Linked DNA regions of Macaca mulatta. The protein of the gene in region 1 purifies or fractionates together with the protein of each later gene. This does not show direct contact. Links are inferred from orthologs where the notes say so. Each region holds a gene or a part of one and is shown on either strand. Other genes may lie near its edges. The genes, in order: RBBP7, ARID4B, CHD3, SAP30, ING1, EZH1 and PHF12.

Region 1 (4,616 bases):
CTACTCTTCCCACATCTGTACATTTACATTTAGATTTTTGGGAAGCCCAGTGGAAATTCCTATCTGTATGGAAATCAATGTTTGCATATGGAGAACCTAGCCATTGTAAGAGCAGTTTTATATACAATTAGATTATTATTGTAATTATTATTTTTATTTTTAAGAGATAGAGTCTTGCTCTCGCTCAGGCCGGAGTGCAGTAGTGCGGTCTTGGCTCACTGCAACCTCCGCCTCCCAGGTTCAAGCAATTCTTCTGCCTCAGCCTCCCTGTAGCTGAGACTACAGGCACACGCTGCCACGCCCGGCTAATTTTTTTTTTTTTTTGTATTTTAGTAGAGACAGGGTTTCACCGTGTTGCCTGGGCTGGTTTCGAACTCCTGAGCTCAGGCAATCCACCTGCCTCGGCCTCCCAAAGTGCTAGGATTACAGGCGTGAGCCACCGCGCCCAGCCAAAATTAGCTTATTATTTTTATAACTTGTTGCAAAATCCTCTTTTTAGGTTAGAGTTTCATTTAATCCTCTTTAAATTATATGCCCACAACACTCAAATTTAAGATGCTTTTTTGTTGTTTCTTTGGAAGACAGGGTCTCTCTCTGTTGGCTAAGCTGGAATGCAGTGGCGCAATCATGGCTCACTGCAGCCTTGAACTCCTGAGCTCAAGCTAACCTTCCAAAGCGCTAGGATTACAGGAGTATAAGCCACTGTGCCTGGCCCCATATTTAATACACTTTAAAAGTACATGGTCAAGTTCCTACTAGAAAAGGTTCAAGTGAATGAGAAAGGCAGACTAACGCAGGGACCAGCTGTGTGATCTTGGGATGGCACTTAAACGCTCACTCCCAGTTCCCCTATCAGTAAAACAAGGATAATGAAAATTACCTACAGCATAGTACTACTGTGAGGATTACAACAAGACGTAGATTCTTCAGCTGTGCCAGGCCCTGTTGAGTGCTCAATAAATGCCAGCAATTATTACCAGAGAAACTGTAGATCTAACAGAAAAGAATACTCTTATGAAGACTAACGGCAATCTCAAAGTGTATTCCATAAGCCAATAACATCTTTTCTTTAGTCAATTGTTGACAAGGTCTTTTTGCCTTTACCAATTAAAATGTATTTATCTTGGGTGACTGTTACGTGTGTTCACTTTGCAAAAATTTATGAAGCCATACAACACTTATGATGTGTGAACTTTTCTGTAAATATTCTCTTTTTCAATAAAGTTTTAAAGAAACGCATTAGTTTGGGCCCAGAGAGATGCTGCTCTACATTCGAGCCCAGGAACTGTCAAATACATTCAGTGTTTCCTCCAAATACCATTAATCTCACAACGGATTCTTTCTCCCCTTTTACCACCACACTATACGCCAGAAATCATCCCATAAATCACGTTAAGTTTTGAAAATAAAAACCACCTGCCACCCCATGCAAGGGCTGATTACATACTTATGTTCTAGGTATAAAACGCCAAAACTAGGAAATTCAGAACGACAGTTAAATTTAAGCAAAAAAAAAAAAAAAAAAGTTGCCAGAAACCCTTACTTAGTCACTTCAGGAAGCCACTGAACGGTAAGACTGGGCCACTGAAGAGCATGGGTCATAACCAGGTCATACAGAAACGGTGTATTCTTCTTCCAGATTTTATATTCTTCATTGATGACACGCTCCTCCACAGTATCTTCAAACACTGAAATTTGGAGAAAGCCCACACAATTAAGTGGCTGAGATGGATCGAAGTCAGAAATTGGAGGTCACCTCAAGATGGCCACACCTCATGTACTCTTTCCTTTTACCTCTAATTTGGACACGGACAACTAACTGCTCTTCCAGAAGGTGAAGAAAATACTACCAACCACGAAGCCTCTTTTTTTCCGTTGAGATCAATACCCTCTGCGTATACCATGTTGGGTAGTCAATTACACGGACATGGAAATTGTTTACCCTGTTACAGCTGTTCGCACCTGTTCTAAGATGACGACCTGTACGTACAGGGGCTGCGCGACCCACTCGGGAAGATAACTGCACGTGTACCAGAAGCCCACAGGCCTGGTCCCTCCAATCCCCATCAGGGGAGGCCCCAGCTCCCACGACACCCGCCTCGGCAGCCATAGGCCTGAGGGCTCCAGCAACCCCCGGACAAGGGCCGCGACCCCGAGGCGGTCAACGCGCGCGCGTAGAAGGAGCCGCGGCGTTCGCTTCCCGGCGGCGGCGGCCGCCTCCGCCCCGGGGCCGAGGGCGCCGGAGGGAGCGCAGCCTCTGGAGGAGGGAAGAGAAGAGAGGGGCCCAGCCCTCGGCCCCGCGCCCGGCTCCGGAAGTGCTCGGAGCCCTCGGCACGGCGGTCCCGTCCCGCGCAGGCCCCTCGAGGCGCGCGCCCAGCCTCGCGCCCGGCCCCGCCCCCTGCTCCGCACGCCAATTCGCGCCTTTCGCCGGCGCGTGCCGCGGCCTCGCGCGCCCGCCGCCCCCCGCGGCCCCGGCGCGCGCCGCCCCGCAGGGCCTCTTACTCTCTTTACTCGCCATCTTGCGTCGGGTCGTTCGCCCCTCGCCGCCGCCTCGGACTCCCCTCGTTAGCCAAGAGCAGCCCGACCACTGGCGCTCCTGCCTTTCCCAAACGCGTCACACACTCCCCGCGGTCGAAAGCCCGGGCCCAGTCTTGCTGCCTGGGTGCTCCCCAGACGCCGCGTCCTTGTTTCCTGCCTCCTCCCCGCTCGCGGGTACCGAGGTCTGAGGCGCTCTTCTCTCTCTCTCCAAACTTGGAACGAGACTTTTCAACCCGCGCCTCCCAGCCCGCCCAGGCAGCTAAGCGCAGGCGCATCCGCCCTGGGAAAAGTGAGAGGAGGCGGAGAGGCGGGTCTGGGAGCCAACGGCTCCAGCGCCGCGACCAATGACGCGCGGCGGGCGGGTTTCACGCGGCGTTCGGAGGCGGGCTTCTGGGGGTGGGCGGAGCGTGCCGCGGCAGGAAGTTGGCGATGCGCAGGCGCGAGGGCTCGCCCGGTGCTCCCAGGGCCGGCCGCGGGGGCGGATGGGGGCCGCGGGGGCGGGGCGGATGAGGGCCCGAGGGGGCGGGGCGGATGGGGGCGCGCGAGGGTGGGGTGGATGGAGGCGCGGCTGGCCGGCTGAGCGGGGGCCGCGAGCCCCGGGGCGGCTAGCCTTGGGGCCCGCGGGGCGTGGTTGCTGGTAGCGGCAGCGGTGGTGGGGGTGAGAGGGGGGCAGGGAGGCTGCTGCCGCTTAGCCAAGCAAAATCTCAGAGCAAGAGGGGAAAATGGTTCCTGTTCTCGAGAGATTACTGTGCCTTCAAAGTCTCCCTGATAATCACGGACATGCAATTCTCTGCACCCCTGAAATGTTCTCCTCCAGCCGACTGGCCTTTCCTGGGGCCCGGTCGGGCCGAGGTGGGGCTGGTCTCAGAGGGAAGAGAGCTTCTGGAGAGGCCGCGGGCGTTTTTTGCCTGCAAAAGCCGCCGGGCCGCCTTGTTAGGCTAAATGTGCAGCCTGTAGCGGCACAGGCCGCCGGCGGGCCGAAACCGATTTACATTGTTACATTTTAATTTGTTCGATGTTTGGGTCCTTAAGATGATGGTTTGAGGCCTCTTCGTGCTTCAGGGGATTTTGTTCCAGCACTGGCATTCCTTTCGCATCCCAGCCCCGGCCCCTGCTGAGTCATTTTTGTCACCTGCAGGGGTCCCAGGGCGACCCCACCCCAAGCTGGCGGAGCTGGAGAGAGCAGGGCTGAACTGCCCTGGGCCTGCTTACCTGAGCCATGCTCTGCTCGGGAACTTCATAGCCCCTGGGGAGTGTATCGGGGGAGGAGAAAACTGGCTGCAAGGCCAAAAGGGGAATAAAAGAAAATGAGGGCCAGGAGCAGAGGGGACGGAGTTGGGGGAGGCGACCAAGGTGCCTGCGTGCAAAGGGAACCGAAGTGTACGTCCAGCTCCGAGAGAGGCTCCTCTTGCAAAAGCACCCCCGGAACATTTGCTGCCTTGATACCTTTCCAAGTGCCTTCATGCTCAGATGCTATCTTGCAGATGCCGCTGTCATGCCCACTTTTCTGACCGGGACGCAAACCCAGACGTTAGTCAGTGGCAGAACCAGTCACACATTCCCTTCTGTAGATATTTACTGTCTTGTTTCCGATACAATACAGTTCATTATTATAACGCCCTCCCCCTATGCCGGGTCAAAGAATCTTGTTAGTGCCTAAGGCTGAGGGGGTGGCTGGAGAGGGAAAAGAGTTGGAAGGGTGTTTAAGCAATACAGCCCTCATATTCTAGGACGCTGGTTGGCAAGACTTTTTCTAACAGGACCGAGATAGTAAATATTTTAGGCTTCGGGGGCAACTGCTCGACTCTGTCGCGTTGTAGCGCAAAGCAGCCGTGGAAAATGTGGATACATTTGGCCGTGTTCCAATAAAACTACAGACACTGAAATCGTTTTCAGGGTCACAAAATCTTTTTTTCAACCGCTTGAAAACGGAAAAACCATTCTCAGCTCGAGGGCCATACAAAAACGTGGTGGGTTAGATTTAGTCGGAGGACTGTAGTTTGCCCACCTTGTTCTAGAATAATTGTACCTTATGGCTCTGCTTCAAAGAGAACCTCGTGTGCAAAACAAGAGGCGGC
Region 2 (3,977 bases), on another chromosome or scaffold:
TAAACCACTTCATTCAGGTAGCTTTAAATCAGTATACTCTAGGCTGACACCTGGCTTTGGAACACACTTTTCCATTGTAAAGACAGAGCAGAGCACTAGGGTATGTTTTTTATATACCATAAAAGATTTTAGAATGCTAGCTTTAGGTTTTTAGCAGAGCTTAAAAGAGATATGGTCTAGATCAAATTAGTTAATTCTGTGTTTTCTAAGGAATCTTGACTTAAAACATCTCTGTTTTAAAATAAATTAAAAATATACTTGCAATTAAATTGAAATGTTCTTTGCTTTTTTCACATTTATAAGTGTAACTACTATGATTTTATCTGTGCCATACTATCTCATGGAACTGAACTATCCAAACATGACTAATTTTCAAAATGAAAGAATCCTTTATTTCAGAATATTAGACAGGCTTTCAACAATAAAATTTTACTGACCAGGTGTGGTCACCACGCCTGTAATCCCAGCAATTTGGGAGGTCAAGGTGGTGGATAGCTTGAGTCCAGGAGTTCAAGACCAGCCTGGACAACATGGCAAAACCCCATCTCTACCAAACATACAAACATTAGCGAGCTGTGGTGGCACATGCCTGTAGTCCCAGCTACCTTGGGGGCTGAGGTGGGAGAATCACTTGATCCTGGGAAGGCTGCAGTGAGCCAAGATCACGCCACTGCACTCCAGCCTAGGTGATAAAACAAGACCCTATCTCAAAAAAAAAAAGGAAAGAAAAAAACAGGTTTTACTGTTACAGGTTTTTTGGGTTTTTTTTTTTTTTTTTTTTTTTTTTGAGATGGAGTCTTGCTCTGTCGCCCAGGCTGGAGTGCAGTGGTGTGATCTGGGCTCTCTGCAACCTCCGCCTCCTGGGTTCAAGCAATTCCCCTGCCTCAGCCTCCTGAGTAGCTGGGACTACAGGCATGTGCCACCATGCCCAGCTAATTTTTTGTATTTTTAGTAGAGATGGGGTTTCACCATGTTAGCCAGGATGGTCTTGATCTCCTGACCTCATCATCCGCCTGCCTCAGCCTCCCGAAGTGCTAGGATTATAGGTGTGAGCCACCAGGCCCAAACTATTGTTACAGTTTTTGAGAGGTTGTATCCTCATTATATGTTCCTAATATCTTACAAAAGATTAAAATTAACGAAAAAGAGACAGCTGGGCGCGGTGGCTCAAGCCTGTAATCCCAGCACTTTGGGAGGTGGAGACGGGCGGATCACAAGATCAGGAGGTCGAGACCATCCTGGCTAACAACGCTGCCGTTTTGAATCTTAATCTTGACTAGGTTAGTAATTATGGAATTTGAAAGCTACTCCTAAATTTAGGGTAACTTATATCTTTTTAGAAATAATTGTTTTTTTGTTTTATTTTTTGTTCTTTTGAGATAGAGTTTTGCTCTTGTTGCCCAGGCTGGAATGCAGTGGTGCAGTCTTGGCTCACTGCAACCTCCGCCTCCCAGGTTCAAGAGATTCTCCAGCCTCAGCCTGCTGAGTATCTGGGATTAGTGCCCAGCTAATTTTTGTATTTCGTTTAGTAGAAATGGGGTTTCACCATGTTGGCCAGGCTGGTCTTGAACTCCTGACGTCAGGTAATCCACCTACCTCAGCCTCCCAAAGAGCTGGAATTACAGGCATGAGCCACCACGCCCTACCAGAAATAAATTCTTAAGCACCTATTTCACATGGCCACATTTTAATACATTTACTTACTATGAATATTGGAGAGTCCCCACTATATCACAAGTTAAAACGTAAGTTTTGCTATTTAGATGTAGTTTTTTCCTCTTAATTTACTCTACATTGAAGGTTTTTATTTCTTAGCATCTGAGCACTTTAGAATTCAACTCTTTTGGAGAGAAACCTGACAATTATGACTCTGTGCCTCAGTATGGTCAATATCTACGTCTCCTTTGTGTTTCACTTAAATTGTTATATTAAAATGACTTTAGGTGGGTTCACATACTTGGTGTAAAAAATAAAAAAGAAATAAATATTAAAAATTTAAAAAGGTATTAGGAAAAGTTATAAGTAAGATTATATGACCTATTTTTAAAAAAGGAAGTTGCAGACAGTTAATTACTTGTCCTGTTTTTGACCAAGGAAGTTAGGTTTTATACACAGAAGGTTGATTTAGTGTCTGACATTGGAACTGAATGGAGATAGTACTTTATTAGTCTCTGGAGAAAAAAAGCTTATTTTATACAGTCTGAGAGATAACATATATGAATTAGACAGAAGTATAGCAGATGCTAAGGAATAGAAAAATGCTACAGTTGAGAGAAGTGATTCATCAGTGAAGCCTGGAACATCTTAGTGAAGATGTAGGACTTGGGCTAGTCCTTGAAGAAAAGGGAGACATTTATTTGTAATGTTTTGCAATAATTTCCCACCAAGAAGATGAGACACTTTTTAGAACTACTATGTTGAATTTGTAAATGGTATGTGTGTTAACCAGACAGCGTCCTGGGAGCTTAGTTATTTTTGAAATAAATTGGTTAAAAAAAAACCAAGTGTGAGTTACTGCTAAAATTTACCCCATTAATATCATTATATCATTTTAAAAATTATGTTAATATAAGACATAATGTCATTAACATTTTAACCTGTGATTAAGTCTTTATATTTTGGTTTTATTGAATCTTAACAAATTTCAGTTTTTATTTTCAGCATATGCTTGTTTTTTAATTACTAGGCTCATAAACTCCCAGTACTATATTAAGGACTATTTTCAATTTAGATCTGATTTTTTAAAGAAGGATGTGCATACTTTATTTCCCTTTTTTAAAACCCTGACTTTTATTATGTACAAGAATTCAGACTCCATTAATGACAGTTTATTAAAAACTTGTAATTTCTGTGACAATTTATAAATGTCATAAAGAACATGTAGTTTGGATTGTTCTATGCTTCTAAAATGTGAAATTAATTTATACCTAGGAAATGTTGGATTTTATTTTGTGTTACTTAATCCCTTTCACTTCATAGCCTGTACAGGTCAGAAAAGAGTGAAAGATGCTCAGGGAGGAGGAAGTTCATCAAAAAAGCAGAAAAGAAGCCATAAAGCAACAGTGGTAAACAACAAAAAGAAGGGAAAAGGCAGTAAGTGTGAAATATCTAATTTTTAAAATATAAAAATAATAGCTGATAATTTTCTCCCCAGTAAGAAAATGGTATTCAGGATATGGGATAGTACATTATTTTGATTTTGTCTGTACACTCAAAAAAAGTCACACAGATTCTGTAAGGCTACTTGCTTTAAAAAGAAAAAAAAAAACATGCATTAGGAGAAATACCTAATGTTAATGATGAGTTGATGGGTGCAGCAAACCAACATGGCACATGTATACCTATGTAACAAACCTACACGTTGTGCACATGTACCCTAGAACTTAAAGTATAATAATAATAATAAAGAATTTCTGCAAAAAACCCCACAGGTTTTCTAATCTTAGGTAAATTCTAGTTTTAAGCAAGTTGGTATTATTCAGCGGTGGTATTGATTGCTGATGAAAAATCAAGTAATCTGTTTTTGAAATAGTAGCCAATATACTATAAACATCAACATATTTGTTACCTTTGTGTTCCACAGTTATTTTCACTTGCTATAAAATGTATCACACATTGTGAAATATTTCAACTGTGTGTTTTTATTACAGTGAAATTGATCGCTTAGTAATTCTTCAAGGCAAAATCAGCATAGAAGTGTAACAATCAAGATACCTTTAGAACTGTAATTCCAACAACTCAGTCTACGACATTTATCTTTGGTACCCTATATTATGTGACCTGAGAGTAACTACAAACAATACTTTTTGCTAAGTATGCTCCAACTTTAGCAACGACTCCGTTCATCAATCCACAGAAAATATATATACTGTATTTCTTCTGAGGGCTGCACATTTTATCTCTTTTGTAGACAAAGTAAGAAGCAGAAAATATGTAAAGAATTTTTTTTCAGGTGCCCCACACTGACCTCCTGCTGC
Region 3 (3,977 bases), on another chromosome or scaffold:
AGTTCTGAAGTGCTTGGGAGAGAATTGGGAGCACCTCAAACATGATAGGAATGTTCCTGTGTTCTGTATCTTGTGGGAATGGGGTGCTAAGGAGGACTGAGGCTTAGAGGAGGTGGTGGATCAGCTAATTGATGTCATCCCCACTCTCAGGGCGTAGACAGTCAAAGAGGCAGCTCCGGAATGAGAAAGATAAGCCACTGCCTCCACTGCTGGCCCGAGTCGGGGGCAACATTGAGGTGAGAGCTGGGCCCAGTGTTCGTGAGTTCTCCAAGGAGAGCATGAGGGCAGAAGGTTGGAAATTGGGGCCTGGATCACTGAGGGTAGAAAGGACAAGACCTAAGAACCCTGGACATTTGTCGCCATTGCCTCCTTGCCCCCACCCTCAGGTGCTGGGCTTCAATACCCGTCAGCGGAAGGCTTTCCTCAATGCCGTGATGCGCTGGGGGATGCCACCACAGGATGCCTTCACCACGCAGTGGCTGGTGCGGGACCTGAGGGGCAAGACTGAGAAGGAGTTTAAGTGAGTGTGGGTGATACAGGGCTGAGTTGGACGCAAGGGTAAGAGCTTTGGGTGTTCCATTCTTCCTTGGGGCCGCCATATGATGTGACCTTACTCAACTGATTGTCACCCTCCCTGCCATACAACGCTTCCTGGCTCGATTTCCTGGGGGGTGGTCTCAGCCCACCCCACCTCCCCTCAGCCGAGCCTAGAGTAGAGGGGCCAGGCATTCTCCCCAGGGGAGAGGTGTTGAAGCAAGGAACCTCTCCTGGGCTGTCCTAGCCTCACATTTACTTGGCCACAATCACCTGGCAGGAGGAGCTGGTGGAAAGGATGAAGAGCTGACTGATGGGGCCCAGGAATTAAGTACCAAGGCCAAGGGGATAGGCCAGGGATGGGGCGCAGGGGCACGGTTAGGACTTGGAGGGCTGGTAATGGTGAGAGTGAGAGGCCCAGGGGAGGAGCCCTGGAGCATCTGGGGATTTGGGGACTTGGGGGTCCTCAGTCATCCTTGCATCTTCCTCACTGCCCTATACCCCTTCTGTGGCTTCCCTAACCGTCCTCCCACCCCATGCTTCTTAGGGCCTATGTATCTTTGTTCATGCGCCATCTGTGTGAGCCTGGGGCAGACGGCTCTGAAACCTTTGCCGATGGGGTCCCTCGGGAGGGACTGAGTCGCCAGCAGGTGTTGACCCGCATTGGAGTCATGTCTCTCGTCAAGAAGAAGGTATCAGTCTTCCTCTCACCCAAAAAATCAAGCTGGCTGCCTAGTCTCTGTCCTTCCTCTGCCTCTGTCCCTGAGTTGTAAGCTCGCGCTGGTGTGAGACGGAGGAGACTGGAGTTTCCTGTCTGTATGTCTGTAAGTGCCTGGAGCTGACACCTGTCCTTCCCACCCCAGGTGCAGGAGTTTGAGCACATCAATGGGCGTTGGTCAATGCCGGAACTGATGCCCGACCCCAGCGCTGACTCTAAGCGCTCCTCCAGAGCCTCCTCTCCTACCAAAACGTCTCCCACCACTCCTGAGGCTTCTGCTACCAACAGTCCCTGCACCTCTAAACCTGGTAATCAGAAATCAGGATGGTGGGAGAGACAGAAAGGGAGCCAGGAGTCGGGGCAAGAGAACCTCTGTCTTTATCACTGTGCCTTCCCCTGCAGCTACTCCAGCTCCAAGTGAGAAAGGAGAAGGCATAAGGACTCCTCTTGAGAAGGAGGAAGCTGAAAACCAGGAGGAGAAGCCAGAGAAGAACAGCAGAATTGGGGAGAAGATGGACACAGAGGTGTGTGGCTCCCTGGATTCCCCTGTGGAGTGGGAGGGGAGGGGGCTTGGAGGCCAGATGCCTGGGAGCCCTCCAGCTCATCCTGACCCCATTGTCCTCTTACAGGTTGATGCCCCCAGCCCAGCCCCATCACTCGGGGAGCGGCTGGAGCCAAGGAAGATTCCTCTAGAGGATGAGGTGCCAGGGGTACCTGGAGAGATGGAGCTTGAACCTGGGTACCGTGGGGACAGAGAGAAGTCAGGTGGGTGCATGGCCTTAGGAGTGATGGGGGATTAGAATTTGGGATGTCCCTCTTCTGGGGTCAGAGGATGAGGGTAACATCCTCCCTTCCTATCCCCTACCCCCTCCCACAGCCACAGAGTCGACGCCAGGAGAAAGGGGGGAGGAGAAGCCGATGGATGGACAGGAACACAGGGAGAGGCCGGAGGGGGAAGCAGGGGATTTGGGCAAGAGAGGTAATGGGTGGAAGGACCGGACACCTGGGTCCCTGAGGGCATCAGGGGAGGTGGAGTCTGGGGAACCAAATGCTTGGGTCCTGGGCGGGTAGCTGTTTGAAAGGCCAGGACAGCACAGTACAGATAGTAGTCTTGGGACCTGGGAGGAGGGTGTCCTGAGGTGTGAGCTTTCACCTGTCTGTCCTAGCAGAAGATGTAAAAGGTGACCGGGAGCTTCGACCAGGGCCTCGAGATGAGCCACGGTCCAATGGGCGACGAGAGGAAAAGACAGAGAAGCCCCGGTTCATGTTCAATATCGCAGATGGTGGCTTCACAGGTTGGGGAGACTCTCGCTGCTTTCTGCTCCTCAAGGGGATCTGCTCATCCTCATGGGGTTTCTCGTTTTGCCTGAGGCTTCCTGCTACCTTTAATTCCAAGTAACTTCCAATGAAGTATGTTGCATGCTGACTCCGATCCTTGCTCTAAATCTTTCTTAAGTATCCCTCTTAACTCCAAAGCTGGCTCTAATCCCACCTTTATTCTTAATTCTAACTCGAACCTGGTTAGTAACGGAGTTTGTTCCGAACTCCTAACCTAACCTTTACCCATTCCTCTTCAGGAGCCCTTAGTTCCCTTTCATTATTCAGTTTCCCCATCTGTACCTGTCTGTTGGACTGAGTGCAGTCTGCAAACCCTTGTTGCTTCTTCTGTCTGCTGCCGCCTTTGCAGAGCTTCACACACTGTGGCAGAATGAGGAACGGGCAGCTATTTCCTCAGGCAAACTCAATGAGATCTGGCACAGAAGACACGACTACTGGCTTCTGGCTGGGATTGTCCTGTATCCTTTGACACACGTGCAAGAAGGAAAAGGTTCTCTCAAGCTGGAAAAAAAAAAAAAAGGATGATGATTTCACACCCAGGGACAGGGCTACTGCCACACTTTGGGGAGTCAGGCCAAAAGGAAGAAGTGTTCAAAGCCAAGCCCATTCCTGTTAAATTCCTTGATGGTTCCCTTTCCTTCATTGGTAGCCATGGCTATGCACGGTGGCAGGACATCCAGAATGATGCTCAATTTGCCATTATCAACGAGCCATTTAAAACTGAAGCCAATAAGGGGAACTTTCTGGAGATGAAAAATAAGTTCCTGGCCCGGAGGTTCAAGGTGGGAATGAGGGAGGACAGGAACGGGTTTTAGACGGGCTTGGGTCAGAAGTGAGGCCAGATCTAGTTGGAACCTAGGGAAGGTTAACACCTTCAGGGCTGAGGTGATGCTTGGAGCCAAGACCAAAGTGTAACCTTGTGCTTGGGAGTGTGGTCTGGGTCAGGGTTGATGCTAGGTTCGCAGTTGGTTTGGAGCTAGGAGTGCTCTGGGCCAGCAGTGAGGGCAGGGTGGGTCTCCTGCTATGTCCAGTCCCCCCACCCGCCACTCACTCACTGCTGGCAGAGCCCTGCCTTCACCTCCCAACCCTGTGCCCTCAGCTCCTGGAGCAGGCGCTGGTGATTGAGGAGCAGCTGCGGCGGGCGGCCTACCTGAACCTGTCGCAGGAGCCGGCGCACCCCGCCATGGCCCTCCACGCCCGCTTCGCCGAGGCCGAGTGCCTGGCCGAGAGCCACCAGCACCTCTCCAAGGAGTCGCTGGCGGGGAACAAGCCGGCCAACGCCGTCCTGCACAAGGGTAAGGGCCGCGGCGGCCCCGCGCGGGGGAGGGCCCACAACGCTGCGTAAGTCTTCACCCCGCACCCCTCAAAATCTTCCCACCCCCTGACC
Region 4 (4,521 bases), on another chromosome or scaffold:
TACACAGTTTGAATTGTTACATTTTAAATTGACAATTTTTGCGGCTCTGTTGTCACATAACTTACTCTTTTTTGACCTCAGTTTATATTATTAATCCCCAAAAGATTAAACTGTTTAATAATTTATAGGTTTGATTATGTAAATTTTTTAAATAATTTTTTTGATTTTGGAAGTAAATTTTTATTGTGCTGAAGTTAAAATGTTTGTTATTATACATATCGATGATAAATTTTCCACAAATTGTATGAACTAATTTATGCATGTTAATTTTTTCTAGGTTGATTTATACCAATTACAAGTAAATACACTTAGGAGATACAAAAGACACTTCAAGCTACCAACCAGACCAGGACTTAATAAAGCACAGCTTGTTGAGGTATATATGATTTTTAAACTATTTGAACTATGCACAACCGAGAGGCTGTTAAATGCTAATGAAAGTATTAATGTAGTATATGTAACAGTACATTTAACAGTACATTTTATTTAGAAAGAACAATGTTAAAAAATCTATTGTGGAAGAATCTAGTTGTCTAGAAATGTTTGTCAGCCACTTAGGAAATTCCTTTTTGTAATGACTACTCAGCAGGTTGTGTACAGCACCTTCTGATACTGGCTTTCAAAATGTGTTGTTTGTTTTTTGAGACAAAGTCTCGCTCTGTCACCCAGGCTGGAGTGCAGTGGCACGATCTCGGCTCATGGCAACCTCTACCTCCCAGGTTCAAGCAATTCTCCAGCCTCAGCCTCCCAAGCAGCTGGGACTTCAGGTGTGCACCACCACACCAGGCTGATTTTTGTGTAATATCTTTAGTAGAGATGGGGTTTCACCATGTTGGCCAGACTTGTCTCAAATTCCTGACTTCAAGTGATCCGCCCACCTCAGCCTACCAGAGTGCTGGGATCAGCAGTGTGAGCCACCGTGCCTGGCCCTCAAAATGTTGAATGAGAGTTTTTTTTAATCCTCACTTTAGAAATCTATTAGTTTTAAAACTCCATTTAACCAGTAAATGTTTGAGCATCTAATTGAGGCATAATAAATTTAATTAGCAAGCTTTAATGTCCTTATTAAAATTTATATTTTAAAGTGGTGGAGTAGGCCTACAAATCAGCCCCTAAACAGTATTTTTATAATTTGCTGACTTAACTATTTCAAAATTGGTCCTTGTTGATGTTAGTTTTATTAGAGACATCTATGTTTTCTTCACATCTAGAAGAGGCAAAAGCTTTTCTTTTACCCAATCTTTTACTTGTAGTTTGCTTTGACAGAGGACTTCTAGTTAGTCAGTGAGTTGTGAAAGTTAATGGAGTATGCATATGTTCTCAGGATATAATAGAACCAAGAAGTCTGTGCATCTTATTAAGATGCTTATAGATTGATATATTTATATTTTAATCATATTTAAAATTTTTGCTTGCAGCTACTCAGGAGGATTGATTAATCCTAGGAGTTTGAGTCACCATGGGCAACATAGCAACACTCCATCTCTAAAAAAGAAAATTTAGCCTACTAGACAAAATAGAAGTGTAGATATATAAATCGGTTTTCTCATATTCTTTGCATGGATTTAGTAGTTACCCAACATTTTCTAAAATGTACAACATTTCATTGAATAAAATGAAATATGAATAGAAGTTACATTTATCTGATGGAACGCTTTTTAACATTGTTAAAATCTAATACATTAACTATTTAGCTAAAATTTCTTATCCTTGGTTAGGCAACACGGATCTAATTAATTTTTCTTTAATTTTGATTTAAAAGATCAAGTTCTTTTGGGGTTGTACAATACATTATGTAACGTAAATATAGATCTTGCCCACCATGATGAAATATTTCAGTAGGTACTAATGGAGTGAAGGCACCCCTGTTTTGGAACAAATGAGAACCAAAGAACTAATTATTTTAAATGTTACATTTAGGTATAAATTAAACCTGAAATTTTTGATAAACTGACCTTCTAAGAACAGTTATATTATTTCTAGAGCTATTTTCTTTTTTATACATAAGAGATAGCCATGAGTGTTATATTTTACTTAATCAGAAATGCAGTTATTAACAGGTTAAGGAATGTGGAAATGTGCAGATGTAGTACATATATTTTAAGACAGGGGTCCCCAACCCCGGGGCCATGGACTGGTACTGGTTGATGGCCTGTTAGGAACAGGTCCACAGAGCAGGAGGTGAGCACCAGCTAGCAAGAATTACTGCCTGAGCTCCGCCTCCTGTCAGATCAGCCGTAGCATTAGATTCTCACAGGAGTCCAAAACCACGTGTGAAGTGCACATGTGAGGGATCTAGGTTGTACGCTTGTTATAAGAATCTAATGCCTGATGATCTGAGGTGGAACAATTTCATACCAAAACCAACTCCCCCACCCCCAATCTGTGCAAAAATTGCCTTCCGTGAAATCGATCTCTGGTGCCAAAAAGGTTGGGGACCACTGTTTTAAGGGATTCCAGGGTTGTATGACTAAGTCTTAAGTCTCGTAATTGTTGTGTGGATGAACTTTTTTCTTAAGAAATTCTATTTTCTGGAATCTAAATATGCTTGTCAGCACCTCAGGTAAGTCTATTAATCTTCTATTCGTAATTGTAGTATGCATATTACATTAGCACAATGAAAAGGCAAGGAAGCAGGTAAACATCCTTCATTGAACATCCCTCTTTCTCCTCTCATTTCCATTCACAATTTTTATTCAGAAAAATTTTCAAGGAACCTTAACCAAAGAATGCTACCAAGATACGAATGAATGAATGTAATTTGCAGCAAATAATTTATATGTTATTGTTGATTACTACCAAAAGTTTTCAACTTCATACTTCTTTTTCTATCAGTAGGGTCTAAACCATTGCAGGTTTAATGATGCATGTGGTCTCTTACATCTGTTTTATCTCATTTAAAGTTTAAAAGTAAAAACATGTATTCCCTACTCTAGATTCCAATTATAAAATTTATTATTTTTATCTTATTTATCTTTTTTGAGACAGAGTCTTGCTCTGTCACCCAGGCTGGAGTCCAGTGGCGTGATCTCAGCTCACTGCAACCTCCACCTTCTGGGTTCAAGCAATCCTCCCATCTCAGCCTTCTGAATAGCTAGGATTACAGGTGTACACCACCACGCCTACTTAATTTTTGTATTTTTTTTTGGTAGAGATGGGGTTTTGTCATGTTGCGCAGGCTGGTCTTGAACTCCTGGGCTCAAGTGATCCCCCTACCTCCGCCTCCCAAAGTGCTGGGATTACAGGTGTGAGCCACCACTCCTGGCCCAATTATAAAATTTAAAATAAATAAAAGGAAAATGTATTTTCTAATCAATGTATAGTAAATTGAGTGAGCCAAAAGGTCCTTTGAAATCACATTATCTCTTGTTCATAACATTTTATTCTTAAATGCTTTTTGTCCTGTTGGTATTTTCTTAAATATAATTTTTAAAGGAAATAGCTCTTATCACATAGATTTTTTCTTTGGATGAAACCGTATTTTTTACCTAGTTTATGAAACCTGTTATATCTAAAATTTAATTTCCTTAATTTTTTTTTTTTTCTTTATAGATAGTTGGTTGCCACTTTAGGTCTATTCCAGTGAATGAAAAAGACACCTTAACATATTTCATCTACTCAGTGAAGAATGACAAGAACAAATCAGATGTCAAGGTTGATAGTGGTGTTCACTAGGAGACGTGGAATTGAGACTAATAACTTGGATGATAACACTGTTTACTGTTTTTTCACATGTAGAAATGTTCTTTGTGTATTTTTTCTACAGAGGATTTTCTCTGATTTTATTTTCTTTGTTTCTGACTCTAATAATTAGTTGGAAACTCATGTAAAATGAGCTTTCCTAAATTAAAAACTATTTTAAATAAAGGTTATTACTATTATAGTTGCTTCAGTGTATTTATTTTGTGAAACTTGATTTTTCTTTTAAACTGACTTAGAGATCAGTATTGATATTTTAATGTAAAGTCCTTCATTTTATAACCCCCTTTTTTTTTTTTTTGTAAACTTCCAAGAAATTAACAGGGTAAGGAGAAGTAACAAATGTAGCACATTTGCATTCTCTGGGACAATCTGACTTGGAATTGAAGATATTTTAAATAGCATTATTTTTTTTAAGTGCTTTATAATGCTAGCAAATTTGAAAAATAAGCTTCTATTGGAATACAACTTCTTTTTTATTTCCTTTTTTTTTTTGTTATTATTACTTGATGAAGTACTAGGAAGAACAAATGGTTTAATTTATATACCCACCTCGTTCCAAAGACAACTTAATGTGCCAGTGAAGATAAACACAATGCTGAAAGTCGAAATAAGAACATGAAATGAAATAGCTGTTTTTGAAAATTTTGTCTTTGGGAAAAGATATTTATGTGGCATGAATACAGAAAGTACCTCTGCTATGCCCCTTAATTTTTAGTGATGTCCTGTACTGTTTACATTGCAAATGGTAACTAGTAAGTTGGAGAGGTCTAGATATCTAACAAGATCTTCATTTAAATTTTGGTTATATATGACTGACTT
Region 5 (4,313 bases), on another chromosome or scaffold:
CGAGACTCTATCTCAAAAAAAAAAAAAGAAAGAAATTAAAACTCCGGCCAGGCGTGGTGGCTCACACCTGTAATCTCAGCACTTTGGAAGGCCGAGGTGAGTGGATCACCTGAGGTCGGGAGTTCGAGACCAGCCATGACCACCATGGAGAAACTGTGTTCTCTACTAAAAATACAAAATTAGCCGGGCGTAGCGGCAGGTGCCTGTAGTCCCAGCTACTCAGGAGGCTGAGGCAGGACAATCACTTGAACCTGGGAGGCGGAGGTTGCAGTGAGCGAAGATCGCGCTATTGCACTCCAGCCTGGAACAAGAGCGAAACTCCGTCTCAAAAAAATAAAAAACAAATGAAAACTCCACTGACCCTTTCAATATGTGGGCAGATCAATGTTAGATGCCAGTTTAAATCAGAGGTCAGCAAACTCTTTCTGCAGAGGGCCTGAAAATAGTTTTGGCTTGTCAACTCAAAAGGTCTCAGTTGCAACTAATGAACTCTGCCATTTTGCAAAAGCATCCACAGACAATACATACGCACATAAGCACAGCTCTGTTCCACCGAAACTTTATTTATGGACACTAGAATTTAAACTCCATATAATGTTCAAACAAGTGGTGGACTGGACTTGACAAGTGGGCAGTAATTTCCTGACCCAGGGTCTGAATACAGATTCTGTTTTGACACATATTTATTTGCTGGCAATTAGGTAACTTCATTATTAATAAGTGAGAACAATAATACAAAATTTACTTAAGGCTTCGTCTAAACTGCTGGTGTATAAATTTTTAAGACAAATTTTAAAAGTTACTTATGTCAAAATTAAATATACTACTAGAGGAACAAACTGGCCAAGTTTCATTTATTTCTTCACGTAACATTTTTACAGCTCACATACAGCAGGAAGCACACCTTTGCACATAATTGTGACATTAGCTTCACAACAGCATCTGCTGACTGCACTTCCAATCATAATATAGCAAGTGCAAGTTCACTTGGAAATGTACATTTATACACCTGATATAAATTAAAGATGGCTACACTATGATTCGTGATAGCAAAAGCATGACTTGAGGTTCCTTGACTAGACCGCTTGTTTAAGAGAAGTGTACCCAAGCATTTTAAAATGGCCATTTGGGGAACAGGCCAAAATATAAAATATCTATCATGTAAAATTTAACCATTTACCTTTTTAAAAAATAATCTTCAAACTTGAAACCTTTGTTACTGAATTGTTATATGGATATACATCATGGCAGCAAGAACCACATTTACTATAGGCTGTATTTTTGGCGACCGGCCAATTAAAAAAATTTGTTCATAAAGTAATATTACTTTTATTAAAAAAAAGCTAAATGAAGTATTTTCCTTCCACATTTAATGTGTTAGGTTGAGTTTAGTCCCCCTCCTCCCACAAGAAATCAGTCTGAGACTTAAGTGTTTAATCAAACCTATATTTGTAGTTTCTAAAATGCTGATCCACAGACCACTTTCTTGTTACACGTGTACCAATGAAAACAAAAGGCAAACAGAATCACTGCCATCCCTATGAAAGGAATGGTTCCTTTTCTAACATTCTTTAAAAATATACATTTTACACTCCCTGCACCTCAACAAAGGCGGCAATGTAATAAATACACGGTTTATTTTGTCCTCCTCACTACCAGGCGCCTGTCCACAAACTACCTGTTGTAAGCCCTCTCTTTTTTGGATTTCTCCAGGGCTTTGTCCATGGTCTTCTCGTTCTCCCCCCGGCACTTGGGACAGTACCACTTGCCCTTGGGTTTATGATTGAGCCCCACGCACGAGAAGTGGAACCACTCGATGGGACACTCGTCGTTGTCACAGCCGATCATCTCCCCGTAGGAGACCTGGTTGCACAGACAATACGTGGGTTCGTTGGGGTCGATGGGGAGGTCGGCAGGGGACGCCTCCCGCTCCGCCTTGGCCTTGGAGCGCTTCTTCTTCTTGGAGGTCTTGGCCTTCTTCTCCTTGGGTGTGCCCGAGGCGCTGTCCTCGTGGTCGTGGTTGCTGGACGCGTTCTCGCGGTTCTCGTTGTTGCGCTGCCTTCGCGAGCGCTTACTGTTGGGCTTCTCAGCCTGCGCTGCCGCCTCGCCTTTGGGCCTGTCCGCGCCAGCCTTGCCGCTGTTGCCCGCTGTGTCGCCCAGCTCCTGCTGCGCCTCGAACAGCTCCACGTGGCTGTCCACTTGCCGCGTGCGGTTCTCCACCAGCTCCACCATCTGGCTCACGATCTGGATCTTCTCATCGCCCAGCTCCTGGCTGCGGATCAGCGCGCGCTGTACACAGTGCAGCATCCGCCGCTTCTGCGCCCCGTCCGTCTCGCGGCTAAAGCGCTCGTAGTACTCGTCCAGCTCCTTCAAGATCTCTGGGGGCAAGAAGGACAGGCATCACTCGCGAGCAGGACATCGGGACAACCCACACGGCCCCGGACCCGGGTCTACGGAGAGGGCTGGCAGGGGGCCCAGGGGCCAGCGCACGGCTTGCCCAGCCCACCAGCCACAGGCCCTCCAGGGCCTCTCTGTTCCTGTGCCCTGGAACTAAATGCAAATGCCAGAAGAGCTCCCACAGGAAGAGGAGCCGCTCCAGCCATCCCAGAGAGAACCACAGAACAGTTCCTACGCACGGGTGACAATGCCCGAAGCCATTAAGAGGAAACATTTAAATGAAGTGCAGTGCTCGGGACCCAACCTGTATTAATACTTTCTATTAATGATTATGTCCTATACTGCCATCATTTTTACTCAAATGTTTCTATTTGAATGCAATTATTAATATACATATAACGTTATATATAAACATGGTATTTATTACATTATACACAATATACAAACGATAAAATATAAATTATTTGAATATTTCAAATAAAAAAGGTCTCTATTTTAACATACCAACATCTAGAATATCCTGTTAAATTAGAGAACGTGTATAAATTTATATAATAGCTCTCTATGATTTAAAGAACCGGGTTAACAGCAAAGGTCCAGGCTACTTTGTGTTAGGTCCTCAGTTTCAGTCCCCACATTTATTCTAGCATGTTATTCCTCTGTATTAGTGAAAGCAAGAACAGTTCTGCCACAATAATCCAGAAAAACCTAGCTTTGCTTTATTATTATTATGACTGTTGTTATTATTATTTTAGGGGCAAGGTCTGTCTCTGTCGCCCAGGCTGGAGTGCAGTGGTGCAATCTCGGCTCACTGCAGCCTCGACCTCCCAGGCTCAAGTGACCCTCCCACCTCAGCCTCCTGAGTAGCTAGGACTACAGGAGCACAACTGTAATGGGTCATTATTATTATTTTTTAACTGCAGTGAATGTACTAGCCTTGCTTTAAAACAAAGCTGGTAGATTTTACTTTTGCATCTACTGCTTAAACAAAAACATCTTCACATCTATTAAAGTCAATGGACTTTAAAATGCCATCAAAAAGAAAAGAAAACCTCTTCAGTATTTAAATATAAAACTTCTTGGGCATGTTAGAGGACAGTGCATATGATTTTAAAGTGTAATTAGGCAATTTCTCAAGAAACAAAAGCTGTTAAAAAAATCTAGTTGAGGCCGGGCGCGGTGGCTCAAGCCTGTAATCCCAGCACTTTGGGAGGCCGAGACGGGCGGATCACGAGGTCAGGAGATCGAGACCATCCTGGCTAACACAATGAAACCCCGTCTCCACTAAAAATACAAAAAAAATTAGCCGGGCGTGGTGGCGGCGCCTGTAGTCCCAGCTACTCGGGAGGCTGAGGCAGGAGAATGGCGGGAACCCGGGAGGCGGAGCTTGCAGTGAGCCAAGATCGCGCCACTGCACTCCAGCCTGGGCGACAGAGCGAGACTCCGTCTCAAAAAAAAAAAAAAAAAAAAAAAAAAAAAAAAAAAAAATCTAGTTGAAATAAGGGCAGTAAACAGTCTTGCCAAAAGGCTACTCACAAAGAAATTCCAGAGCTCTTTTTCCTCAAACAATAACCATTAAATTAAACAGTACCAGATTATTCTCCTAAAACCTTTTTGCAGTCTCTTTAAACAAGGCAACAATACTACTTTTTTTGTTGAGACGGAGTTTTGCTCTTGTTGCCCAGGCTGGAGTGCAATGGCGCGATCTCGGCTCACTGCAACCTTGGCCTCCCAGGTTCAAGCGATTCTCCTGCCTCAGCCTCCCGAGTAGCTGGGATTACAGGCATGCAACACCACGCCCAGTATTTTCAGTAGACAGGGTTTTCTCCATGTTGGTCAGGCTGGTCTCCCAACTCTCGACCTCGTGATCCGCCTGCCTCAGCTTCGGAAAGTGCTGGGATTACAGGAGTGAGCCA
Region 6 (3,977 bases), on another chromosome or scaffold:
AAAACAAAACAAAACAAAAAGCCATGCACCTGTAGTCCTAGTACTCAGGAGGCTGAGGTGGGAAGATGGCTTGAGCCCAGGAGTTCTAGACTACAGTGAGCTATGATGGCACCACTGCACTCTAACCTGGCCAAGAGTGTGAGACCCTCTCTCTAAAAAAAAAAAAAAAAAAAAGAACCATAAGCTGAAGTGCCCTTTGCTTTCATTTTGGAGCTCATACCTATTTCCCTGAGTCACAGGTTCTCAATGTAACCATCTATGGATTTGTATGCAAAAATATTCTTGTCTGTATTTTCCTGAGAATATTTACAGTTTTCAAAGATCCCCCCAAAGGGCCAATAGCCCCAACAAAGAAAAGGAAAAACTAAAAACCAGTGCTTTAAGAGAAAAAACGCATCCTATTGAAATGGCCAAAGCTCTGGCATATTTGTACCAACAGAGGGAGCTAATATTTAGCCCACTGAAACCATTCCTGTTCTGTCCTGTCCTGCCTTACACTCAGTTACACAAGGCACAGAGTTACCCTTCCTAAAAAGAAGATACTATTGGTCACAATCAGCCCGCTCTTCTACCCGTGGCTTGGTAGAAAGAGTAGGTGACAGCTTCTGGCCAGGGGTGTGTTACTGTGCTCAGTATTTCTCCTTTCCTGAGTCAGGATAAATAATTAGGAATGAACTTCAGAGCCAGTGACCCAATCTCCCAATGGCACTCTGTCTCTCCCTGACTGACAAGAGGCTCAGTCAGCCTCTTGTTCTGAGGGTTCCTCAGAACCCTCCCAAGACCAGCACCCAGTTGGGCCACTTACCTGACCCCCTTGCTCGAGGAGTGACAGGCCCTGTTGGATTTCTCTTCCAGGTCTTTCAGTTTGCAGTCAAAGAATCACTTATCCTGAAGCTGCCAACAGATGAGCTCATGAACCCCTCACAGAAGAAGAAAAGAAAGCACAGGCAAGGGTTGGACAAAGTGTTTTGTTTTACAGCCAGGCTGTTCCCTGTGCTCTGACCTCCCCTTGGAGTTCCCATCTGCCTCCCTCTTTAGCAACCACACAGGCTGTGTAAGCCCATCAGCTTGGCATCACATGACTGAGAGCCAGCCTCCTGAGTGCTCCCCAAGGGTCTGTGCCTTGGATCAGCCCTCTGCTTGTCCCCAGGTGCTGTGGACCATGACATAACTGGCTGTTTTTCTGTTTAAGCTCCTGGCCAATAGGACATGAGCTGGCTTCATGGCTCCACTCCGAAGCCATTTCTCCTTGTTGGTTTAGTTACCACCTTACCCATTTCTCAACTCTGACCAGAGTTTATTTATTTGTTTGGTTCGTGTTGTTTTTCTGAGTTACATAATAACACTGTCTTCTAGCTAGCCTTTACTTAGGTTAGAAGTTTTTTTTTAAAAATTGTGTACCCTGGCTCTGTTCCCTAATGACTATCACCTATCAGAGGAAGGAGCTGACACCACTTCTAGATACAGAAGGAAATCCCTGTGACTCCTCCCTTTCAGTTCTTTGGGAGAAGATTCCTGAAAGGCCTTCCCACCTCCCCATCTTGAAACTCCCCCATATCTCCACCTCCACAAAGACAAAGGGAGAGATGGGGAGACAAACAATAGCTTTATAATAGACCGATAGGCTTGGGCTTTCTTTTGTTTCTGTGTTGTGTTCTTTTATGTTATTTGGTCGTTTGGGAGGGGTGTGTTTAAGTTTAAATCTTGTAGCACAGGCCAGCTGGATTTAGGCTGGACTCTTGCTTCTGTGTACCAAAGTCGTCTTGTTGAGGGGTTTGGGAAGATACTCCCCAGTCATCAAACACAGTCCCTCAGAGCAAGTCACGTTGTCATTTACCTGCATTTACAGAGCTCCCTAGAGCCGTGACTGAGACTTATTCTTCCTGTCTTTTTCAGATTGTGGGCTGCACACTGCAGGAAGATTCAGCTGAAGAAAGGTAAGTTCTACCAGGGCATTCTTCAGCAGTTCAGTTGGAGGCTTCACCCTATGGTCATCACCCTACCCCACAGCTGCACTTGTTGACCCTGTGCCACTTCCGCAGATTGCAGAATTCTCTGCAGCAACTGAGAACAGCTCAGCCTCTCACTGCAACTGAGAAGACCTCTTAGGAGGTAGCATTAGGGGCCTTGTGATCGGTGATTTTTCTTTTTTTTTGAGATGGAGCCTTGCTGTGTCACCCAGGCTGGAGTGCAGTGGCACAATCTCGGCTCACTGCAACCTCCGCCTCCCAGGTTCAAGCAATTCTCCTGCCTCAGCTTCCCGAGTAGCTGGGATTACAGGCATGTACCACCACTCCCGGCTAATTTTTGTATTTTTAGTAGAGATGGGGTTTCACCATGTTGGCCCGGCTGGTCTCAAACTCCTGACCTCAAATGATCCACCTGCCTTGGCCTCGCAAAGTGCTGGGATTACAGGCATGAGCCACTGTGCCTGGCCAGTCTGTGACTTTTCTAGTGTGCCATTTGCTAGGTTCCAGACCTCATTTAATGTTTAGAATAGCTTCCCTATCACCTGTCAAAGGAAGAAGCTGACACCACTTCTAGATACTTCTCTGTAGCATCTCCACATCCTCCCCACAAAGCAGACCACCCCATTGCAGGTTATGAATAACAGTCATCCCTGTCTTCTCACTTCAGGTGCTAAATGTGTGTCCAAGAAGATTGTTAGGACCAGCCTCCTCTGAATCAGGGCAGCTGGACACTTGGGAGGGAAGATAGCTGGAGCGTACGGTCACAGCAGCGTCTTCCTCTGTTCTCTCTCCTAGATAACTCTTCCACACAAGTGTACAACTACCAACCCTGTGACCACCCAGACCGCCCCTGTGACAGCACCTGCCCCTGCATCATGACTCAGAATTTCTGTGAGAAGTTCTGCCAGTGCAACCCAGACTGTAAGTGTGCTGCGTCTTCCCTATAGTCTACCAAAACAGTCGGCACCAGTGTGCCCTAGGCTTGCCCCATTCCTGTGCCCTTTACTACTTATGAGCCTTCTGATAGTCTCTTTGCTGTGTTTTAGGGATTCTACAAATGAAATAAGTGCATGAGATCTGCAAGAGTCATTTCTGGAAAACGTTTAGGTTCATGATTGTAAAAGCAGAAATCAGATACCTTCCCAACTTTGTCTTCTAGGGGAGAATTAAGAAATGAGGGGGGCCAGCAGGCACAGCCACTCACGCCTGTAATCCCAGCATTTTGGGTGGGCAGATCACCTGAGGTCAGGAGTTCAACACTAGCCTGGCCAACATGGCAAAACCCCATCTCTACTAAAAATAAAAAAAATTAGGCCAGGCGTGGTGGCTCTTGCCTATAATCCCAGCACTTTGGGCGGGCAGATCACTTGAGGTCAGGAGTCAAGACCAGCCTGGCCAACATGGCAAAACCCCATCTCTACTAAAAATACAAAAATTAGCCAGACATGGTGGTGCATGCCTGTAGTCCCAGCTACTTGGGAGGCTGAGGCACAAGAATCGCTTGAACCCAGGGGGCAGAGGCTACAGTGAGCCAAGATTGTGCCACTGCACTCCAGCCTGGGCAACAGGACGAGACTCTGTCTCAAAAAGAAAAGAAATGTGAGATTCTTTTTTTTTTTAAGTTACAGCCCCAGTTTCCCTTTTCTGGATACTGTTTAAATTTTTTTTTAATTCAGATATTTTCTGTTTGTGATTCTGTGTATGTCTATTTTCATTTAATAGCTGGAGTTTTAATATCAGGTAGAAGACGGGGCCTGGATGTCAGCAGAGACATCCGGGTACTTATCTTTCACTTCTTATCCCACTATGCCCTTCCCAACTCAAAGCTGAGCAGTTTGATGGCAGTCCCCAGAGCTTGCAGAACTTGGTGCCCAGGCGGTTTTGCTGGAGGAAATACCTCCTAACCCATAGCAGATAGTGATCTTAGCCGCAGCAGAGAAGTGGTTGTGCTGGGTTGGGCAGTGGGTGGAGAAGGATGGCACAGAACGGATGCATTCTGTTCTCAAA
Region 7 (4,553 bases), on another chromosome or scaffold:
GCGGATCACGAGGTCAGGAGATCGAGACCATCCTGGCTAACACGGTGAAACCCCGTCTCTACTAAAAAATACAAAAAACTAGCCGGGCGAGGTGGTGGGCGCCTGTAGTCCCAGCTACTCGGGAGGCTGAGGCAGGAGAATGGCGTGAACCCGGGAGGCGGAGCTTGCAGTGAGCTGAGATCCGGCCACTGCACTCCAGCCTGGGCGACAGAGTGAGACTCCGTCTCAAAAAAAAATAAATAAATAATAAAAATTTTAAAAAGTGGGCCGAGCACAGTTACGAAGCAACAACTCCAACTAAACCCTTAGTGTCAAGCACAACGATGCAGTTCTCTTCTCCACTGCTTCATCCACCCTCAGGCAGCAATAACCGCCCATCTCTGACGGCGATACCAAGGGGAGGAGCTGGCGCCCTGAAAAGGAGCATGAATCCCCGCCCAGAACGTGAGGCGGGCCCTCAGACTACAAATCCCGGCATGCAGCACTGACGCTCTCAAAAGTATCCCTTCCTGGCCGGCAAATGACTCTTCCCTGGGTCTATCCTACCATAGAGTGCATCGCACGCACATGGAACTACAGCTCCCACAATCCATCAGCCCTATCGCGATTCTTGCTCCCAGGGTGCAATGGACCGCCCCCCCCCCCCGTTCGCCCTTTAGACCCTTTGGCATTGCAATCTGGGAGTTGGAGTCCGGGGTACGCAGGTAGCTGGGCGTTGTCAGGATTACAAACTCTCCGCTTTAGGCTTCCTCTTGAAGAGCAGATCTCAGGGACAGTGGTGAAGAGAGGGTGGTAACGGGCAGGCGGAACTCTCCACAGTGCCACCACCACGCAAGGCAGGGATGCTCAGGATACAATTAACTGATAAAATTAACTGTCAGGACGGGAGAGAATTAGGAACCACAGTCATCCAACACGCCACCAAAAGCGTCATTTTCTGTCGCAAATGGCTTTTCTCTTTACCAATATGGTGGCCTGGTCCAGCCACACCTGATGCTAGAACCGAACAGTCCAGTACAACATCCCTAGGAACACTGCTGTCACCGACAGGCGACCAGCTCCATCCAACACCACACCTTGTTCCTTTCTGTTCATGCCTGAGGACTCCAAGGGCATGATAGCCCATATCCCATTACCAAAATGGCGAAAGTAGCAGCCTTCTTGTGAGGGCCTGCGGAAGACAATACGCCTGCGCGGGAGGCTTCTGTGTTACGGAGTGGGAGGGGAGCACTCCCAACACGCCTGCGCAGGACGGAGTCTTCTTAGTTTGCACACAAACACCAATGGATGAAGAGTCCCTGGCTTCCTGCGGCTGCGCCTTGACCCCTACAAGCTTTCCCAAGCGCCTGCGCGAGCCCTCAGGTCCCGCCCTTTTGTCTCAGTGCGCTGGCGCACGGCAGAAAGGTGGGGCTTCGGTCCTCCAGACGAATGCCAGCGCGGCTGCGCGCTGGGGGGTACTCCCTCACCGCGGCTGCGCGGGAGCCAGGCCGCCGGCTGTCACTGCGGTTGCGCGCGGCGAGCGCCGATCCCGGGGCGCCTGCGCGGGTGGCTTTGCGGGCGCTCGCGGTAAGTTTGCGCCAAGTGCGCGGCAGCCGGGACGCAGACGGCGGCGGCGGCGAGAGGCGGAGCCCGGGGACCACCCCCCATCACCCTCCCCCCAGTCACCTCACGTACCACAACCTCACCTAACCTCTTACCCCCCCCCGTCCGATACCCCCAGCCCCGGGATGGCAGCGCCCGCCAGCCTTCCCGGCCGGACCGGCGGTCGCCAGTGCCGGCTTTAGCCTGTGGGACTAGGCCCTGCCGAGGCCTGACCCCTGGAGCCAGGACCCACTGTGCAGCCAGCAGCCGGGCCGGGACTGAGGGGCTGCTCCCCCCTCGCGGCCCGTCGGGAGGACGCTGTCGTCCCGGGGACTGGGGGCCGGGGGGTGGGGGGGAGCCAGGGCGAGGAAGTCGGGACCCGTGTTGGGAAAAAAGAAGCGGGACCGGGGTCAGGAGCGCCCCCTACCCCCACCTCCCCCCTCCCCCCGGGGTTGGGGGGGCCGGAGCAGAGAGCACCCAGCCCGGGAGGTGGATGAATGTGGGAGAAAATGGAGACCAAGACGATCGTGTACGACTTGGACACATCAGGGGGGCTGATGGAGGTAAGAGTGGCCCTCCTCATCCCCTTCCCCCAGCGCCGGGAGGGAACCTCCGCCCTCCGCCCCACAAAGCCGGTCCTAAACTCGAAGCGCCCAGAGAACCGAGGGAGGGGGATTCTTCCTCACTTAGCCTCTCCCTCCCCTCTTTGCAATTTAGGGGGCTGAGCTCAGCCTCCGAGGACGTTTGCAGCAGTTTCACCTACCCGCCGCCCTCGATTCGCTCTCCCCAGGCGCCAGCCCACTCCATCTCGTTGCACCGGCAGGCCTCCCCACCCCCTTCTTGTTGGCCCCTTTGTGCTTCCCCCAGCACGTCCGGGTACCGGGCTTCGGGCCTCTCCAGAGCCAGGCTTTGGAGTCCCCCACTGTCCATACAAGGAAGTGGCCAAGAAGGGAACCGCGCACCCTCTTCCCATCCCCCTACCCTTGATCCTCCCCATTTGGAAGAAGCTGTTCTCGTTCTTGTGCTGCAGGAACGCGGTTAGGGTGGGCTCCCCCTGGTTCCGGGGGCTGAGAGGTTCTGGGAGCAGCCTGGATGGGAGGAAGAAGGACAAAAGGGGGGAGAGGGGTGGGTGACGGAGAAGCCGCGCCGGGGGGGCGACGGACCGCCCGGGAGCTCCGAGTGTGCACACACGCCGTTTGTATGTGTGTGCAGCAAATCCAAGCTCTGCTGGCCCCCCCCAAGACGGACGAGGCAGAAAAGCGGAGTCGGAAGCCTGAGAAGGAGCCCCGGAGAAGCGGCAGGGCCACCAACCACGACAGCTGTGATAGCTGCAAGGAAGGTGGAGATCTCCTGTGCTGCGACCACTGCCCGGCTGCCTTCCACCTCCAGTGCTGGTAAGGTCCGGGGACCCTTCTCTGCGCATTCCTTCACCCGGCCTGCCCCTGCCTGCCGAAATAACGGGCGCTTGCAGCCGCTAGCTGACTTTCTGCAGCTGCCCGGGCGAGCACCTCCCCGCCCCCAGGTGTCCGCCGGGTTCTGGCAGTTTAGGGGGGAGGAGCAGCGGTGGGTCCGGACCCCGAGGTGGGGGTTGGGAGGAGTGAAGAGAACCCCATATGGGATTGGAAGTCGCTGGGGAGCCGGGACAGAGCCGGCCGGGGACAGCCGGCAGTGGCGGGGGAGGAAGGGGAGGAGCTCCGGGCCCAGCGCCGCTTGCCTGCCCGCGCGCCCGCTGCCCTCGGGGCTCCTGCCCGGCCGGGCTCTCCTTGGGGTGGGTGCGTAGAGCCCTCGGCCACCTGAATTGCAGTGGTCCAGACCCCGGCAACCGGGCGCTTGTGGCTGTAGAAGAAATCATGGAGGGTGTCTCTCGAGTCCGCCTCTTCCTTGCCTCTCTGTTTACAATATGGCGACCTGCCTTTAAATTATATTTTTATTCTCAGCGCCATTTTGGCTGCATATATGATTTGCAAACGTCTCCCGGGGAACGGTGGGGACAGCCCCCGAGTCCTTTCTGCAGAAGCTCCTCAGGGGCCCAGGCTGGGATCTCGCCGCTTTGGTCCCCTTTCTCTACCTCCGCTTGCCCTCTGTTGCCTCTCAGAGCTGCCTTCCTTCCTCCTCCCTCTTCCCTCCTCCCTCCCGGCGCCACTGCCTCTTAGGAAATCGGGCCGGGTTAGACAATTAAAATTGCCCTTGGGCGCCGATTTTATTTCTCCGCTCCGGATCGGCGAGCCCTTCGCTGCAAAATTCTTTGCTGCCAGGGGGAGGATTGTGTGCGGTGGCATTGGAAAGGCATTTTTAAGGAACTGAGAGCTGGAAAGCCGTACGCTTTTTTCCCCCTTACTGGACACGAGGGGAGGGGAGAAACCGAACCGAGAGGGAGGGACGTGGGTTGATCGCCCGCTGCGTGATCCTCCTCAGCGGCTCAGCCCAGAACAATCCGGCAAAGAAGAGTTTAAACTCCATCTTCTGCCGGCAGAAATCACCTCTGCCCTCCACAAAAATCCCACATCTGCGGCAGCAAACCCAGATTTCGTCTTGTTCTACTGGGTCTCGTTCTGTTGTTCTGCAACAGTTGACTGAGGCAGAGGTTTGAGAGAGGAGCCAGTCGGGAGAAAGGAAGAGGGGGCTGTTTCTGTGTTCCCACCAGTTTTTTGATGTTGCCTTTTTTAGCCCTCTGTTTTTGTTTTTGTTTTGTTTTTTTTTTTATGTGAAATTTCACCGAAGGTCTCTTAACGGTTCCATTCACGTTCCATCGCTCGGTTTGCGGAGTTGTGTCTACTATATATTTGTACTAATTGCAGGTTTGGGAACACTTACTAGACAGATGACTGATACTGAGCAAATTAAGTCTGTGGTCAGAAGTTCTGTAGGAAGCTCCCATTACCATTCCCAAGATACTTTTGCCCAGAAGGGCACCCCATCCCAGCTTGTAAAATTGCAGGGACAAAAATGATTATCCTAGAGGAAGTTTTGCT

What was found.
Region 2: the proteins of RBBP7 (region 1) and ARID4B purify together in Homo sapiens (affinity purification with mass spectrometry; 3 studies listed by BioGRID and IntAct, counting the BioPlex papers as one, with this or other methods). This does not show direct contact. The link is inferred for Macaca mulatta from reciprocal best matches to the Homo sapiens genes RBBP7 and ARID4B.
Region 3: the proteins of RBBP7 (region 1) and CHD3 purify together in Homo sapiens (affinity purification with mass spectrometry; 6 studies listed by BioGRID and IntAct, counting the BioPlex papers as one, with this or other methods). This does not show direct contact. The link is inferred for Macaca mulatta from reciprocal best matches to the Homo sapiens genes RBBP7 and CHD3.
Region 4: the proteins of RBBP7 (region 1) and SAP30 purify together in Homo sapiens (affinity purification with mass spectrometry; 10 studies listed by BioGRID and IntAct, counting the BioPlex papers as one, with this or other methods). This does not show direct contact. The link is inferred for Macaca mulatta from reciprocal best matches to the Homo sapiens genes RBBP7 and SAP30.
Region 5: the proteins of RBBP7 (region 1) and ING1 purify together in Homo sapiens (affinity purification with mass spectrometry; 5 studies listed by BioGRID and IntAct, counting the BioPlex papers as one, with this or other methods). This does not show direct contact. The link is inferred for Macaca mulatta from reciprocal best matches to the Homo sapiens genes RBBP7 and ING1.
Region 6: the proteins of RBBP7 (region 1) and EZH1 purify together in Homo sapiens (affinity purification with mass spectrometry; 4 studies listed by BioGRID and IntAct, with this or other methods). This does not show direct contact. The link is inferred for Macaca mulatta from reciprocal best matches to the Homo sapiens genes RBBP7 and EZH1.
Region 7: the proteins of RBBP7 (region 1) and PHF12 purify together in Homo sapiens (affinity purification with mass spectrometry; 5 studies listed by BioGRID and IntAct, counting the BioPlex papers as one, with this or other methods). This does not show direct contact. The link is inferred for Macaca mulatta from reciprocal best matches to the Homo sapiens genes RBBP7 and PHF12.

The regions. Positions count from the first base shown.
Region 1 is NC_133426.1:16,538,290-16,542,905, forward strand, and holds the start of RBBP7 (histone-binding protein RBBP7), read right to left. Parts: upstream 2,864-4,616; 5' UTR 2,519-2,863; coding exon 2,503-2,518; intron 2,450-2,502; exon of another isoform or gene 2,111-2,449; coding exon of another isoform or gene 1,963-2,110; intron 1,689-1,962; coding exon 1,544-1,688; intron 1-1,543. UniProt on the Homo sapiens protein: Core histone-binding subunit that may target chromatin remodeling factors, histone acetyltransferases and histone deacetylases to their histone substrates in a manner that is regulated by nucleosomal DNA.
Region 2 is NC_133406.1:13,890,592-13,894,568, forward strand, and holds part of ARID4B (AT-rich interactive domain-containing protein 4B), read left to right. Parts: intron 1-2,979; coding exon 2,980-3,093; intron 3,094-3,952; exon of another isoform or gene 3,953-3,977. UniProt on the Homo sapiens protein: Acts as a transcriptional repressor. May function in the assembly and/or enzymatic activity of the Sin3A corepressor complex or in mediating interactions between the complex and other regulatory complexes.
Region 3 is NC_133421.1:9,412,708-9,416,684, forward strand, and holds part of CHD3 (chromodomain-helicase-DNA-binding protein 3), read left to right. Parts: intron 1-150; coding exon 151-236; intron 237-386; coding exon 387-520; intron 521-652; exon of another isoform or gene 653-791; intron 792-1,081; coding exon 1,082-1,226; intron 1,227-1,397; coding exon 1,398-1,560; intron 1,561-1,654; coding exon 1,655-1,776; intron 1,777-1,881; coding exon 1,882-2,017; intron 2,018-2,129; coding exon 2,130-2,231; intron 2,232-2,418; coding exon of another isoform or gene 2,419-2,421; coding exon 2,422-2,547; intron 2,548-2,939; coding exon 2,940-3,048; intron 3,049-3,239; coding exon 3,240-3,372; intron 3,373-3,689; coding exon 3,690-3,885; coding exon of another isoform or gene 3,886-3,931; intron 3,932-3,977.
Region 4 is NC_133410.1:181,805,517-181,810,037, forward strand, and holds the end of SAP30 (histone deacetylase complex subunit SAP30), read left to right. Parts: intron 1-277; coding exon 278-376; intron 377-3,552; coding exon 3,553-3,675; 3' UTR 3,676-3,867; downstream 3,868-4,521. UniProt on the Homo sapiens protein: Involved in the functional recruitment of the Sin3-histone deacetylase complex (HDAC) to a specific subset of N-CoR corepressor complexes. Capable of transcription repression by N-CoR.
Region 5 is NC_133422.1:105,129,595-105,133,907, reverse strand, and holds the end of ING1 (inhibitor of growth protein 1), read right to left. Parts: intron 2,379-4,313; coding exon 1,675-2,378; 3' UTR 544-1,674; downstream 1-543. UniProt on the Homo sapiens protein: Cooperates with p53/TP53 in the negative regulatory pathway of cell growth by modulating p53-dependent transcriptional activation. Implicated as a tumor suppressor gene.
Region 6 is NC_133421.1:67,059,863-67,063,839, reverse strand, and holds part of EZH1 (histone-lysine N-methyltransferase EZH1), read left to right. Parts: intron 1-855; coding exon 856-947; coding exon of another isoform or gene 948-953; intron 954-1,896; coding exon 1,897-1,937; intron 1,938-2,765; coding exon 2,766-2,891; intron 2,892-3,977.
Region 7 is NC_133421.1:37,672,620-37,677,172, reverse strand, and holds the start of PHF12 (PHD finger protein 12), read left to right. Parts: upstream 1-1,355; 5' UTR 1,356-1,428; coding exon 1,429-1,566; intron 1,567-1,569; exon of another isoform or gene 1,570-2,078; coding exon of another isoform or gene 2,079-2,144; intron 2,145-2,344; exon of another isoform or gene 2,345-2,504; intron 2,505-2,793; coding exon 2,794-2,975; exon of another isoform or gene 2,976-3,029; intron 3,030-4,231; exon of another isoform or gene 4,232-4,232; coding exon of another isoform or gene 4,233-4,285; intron 4,286-4,553.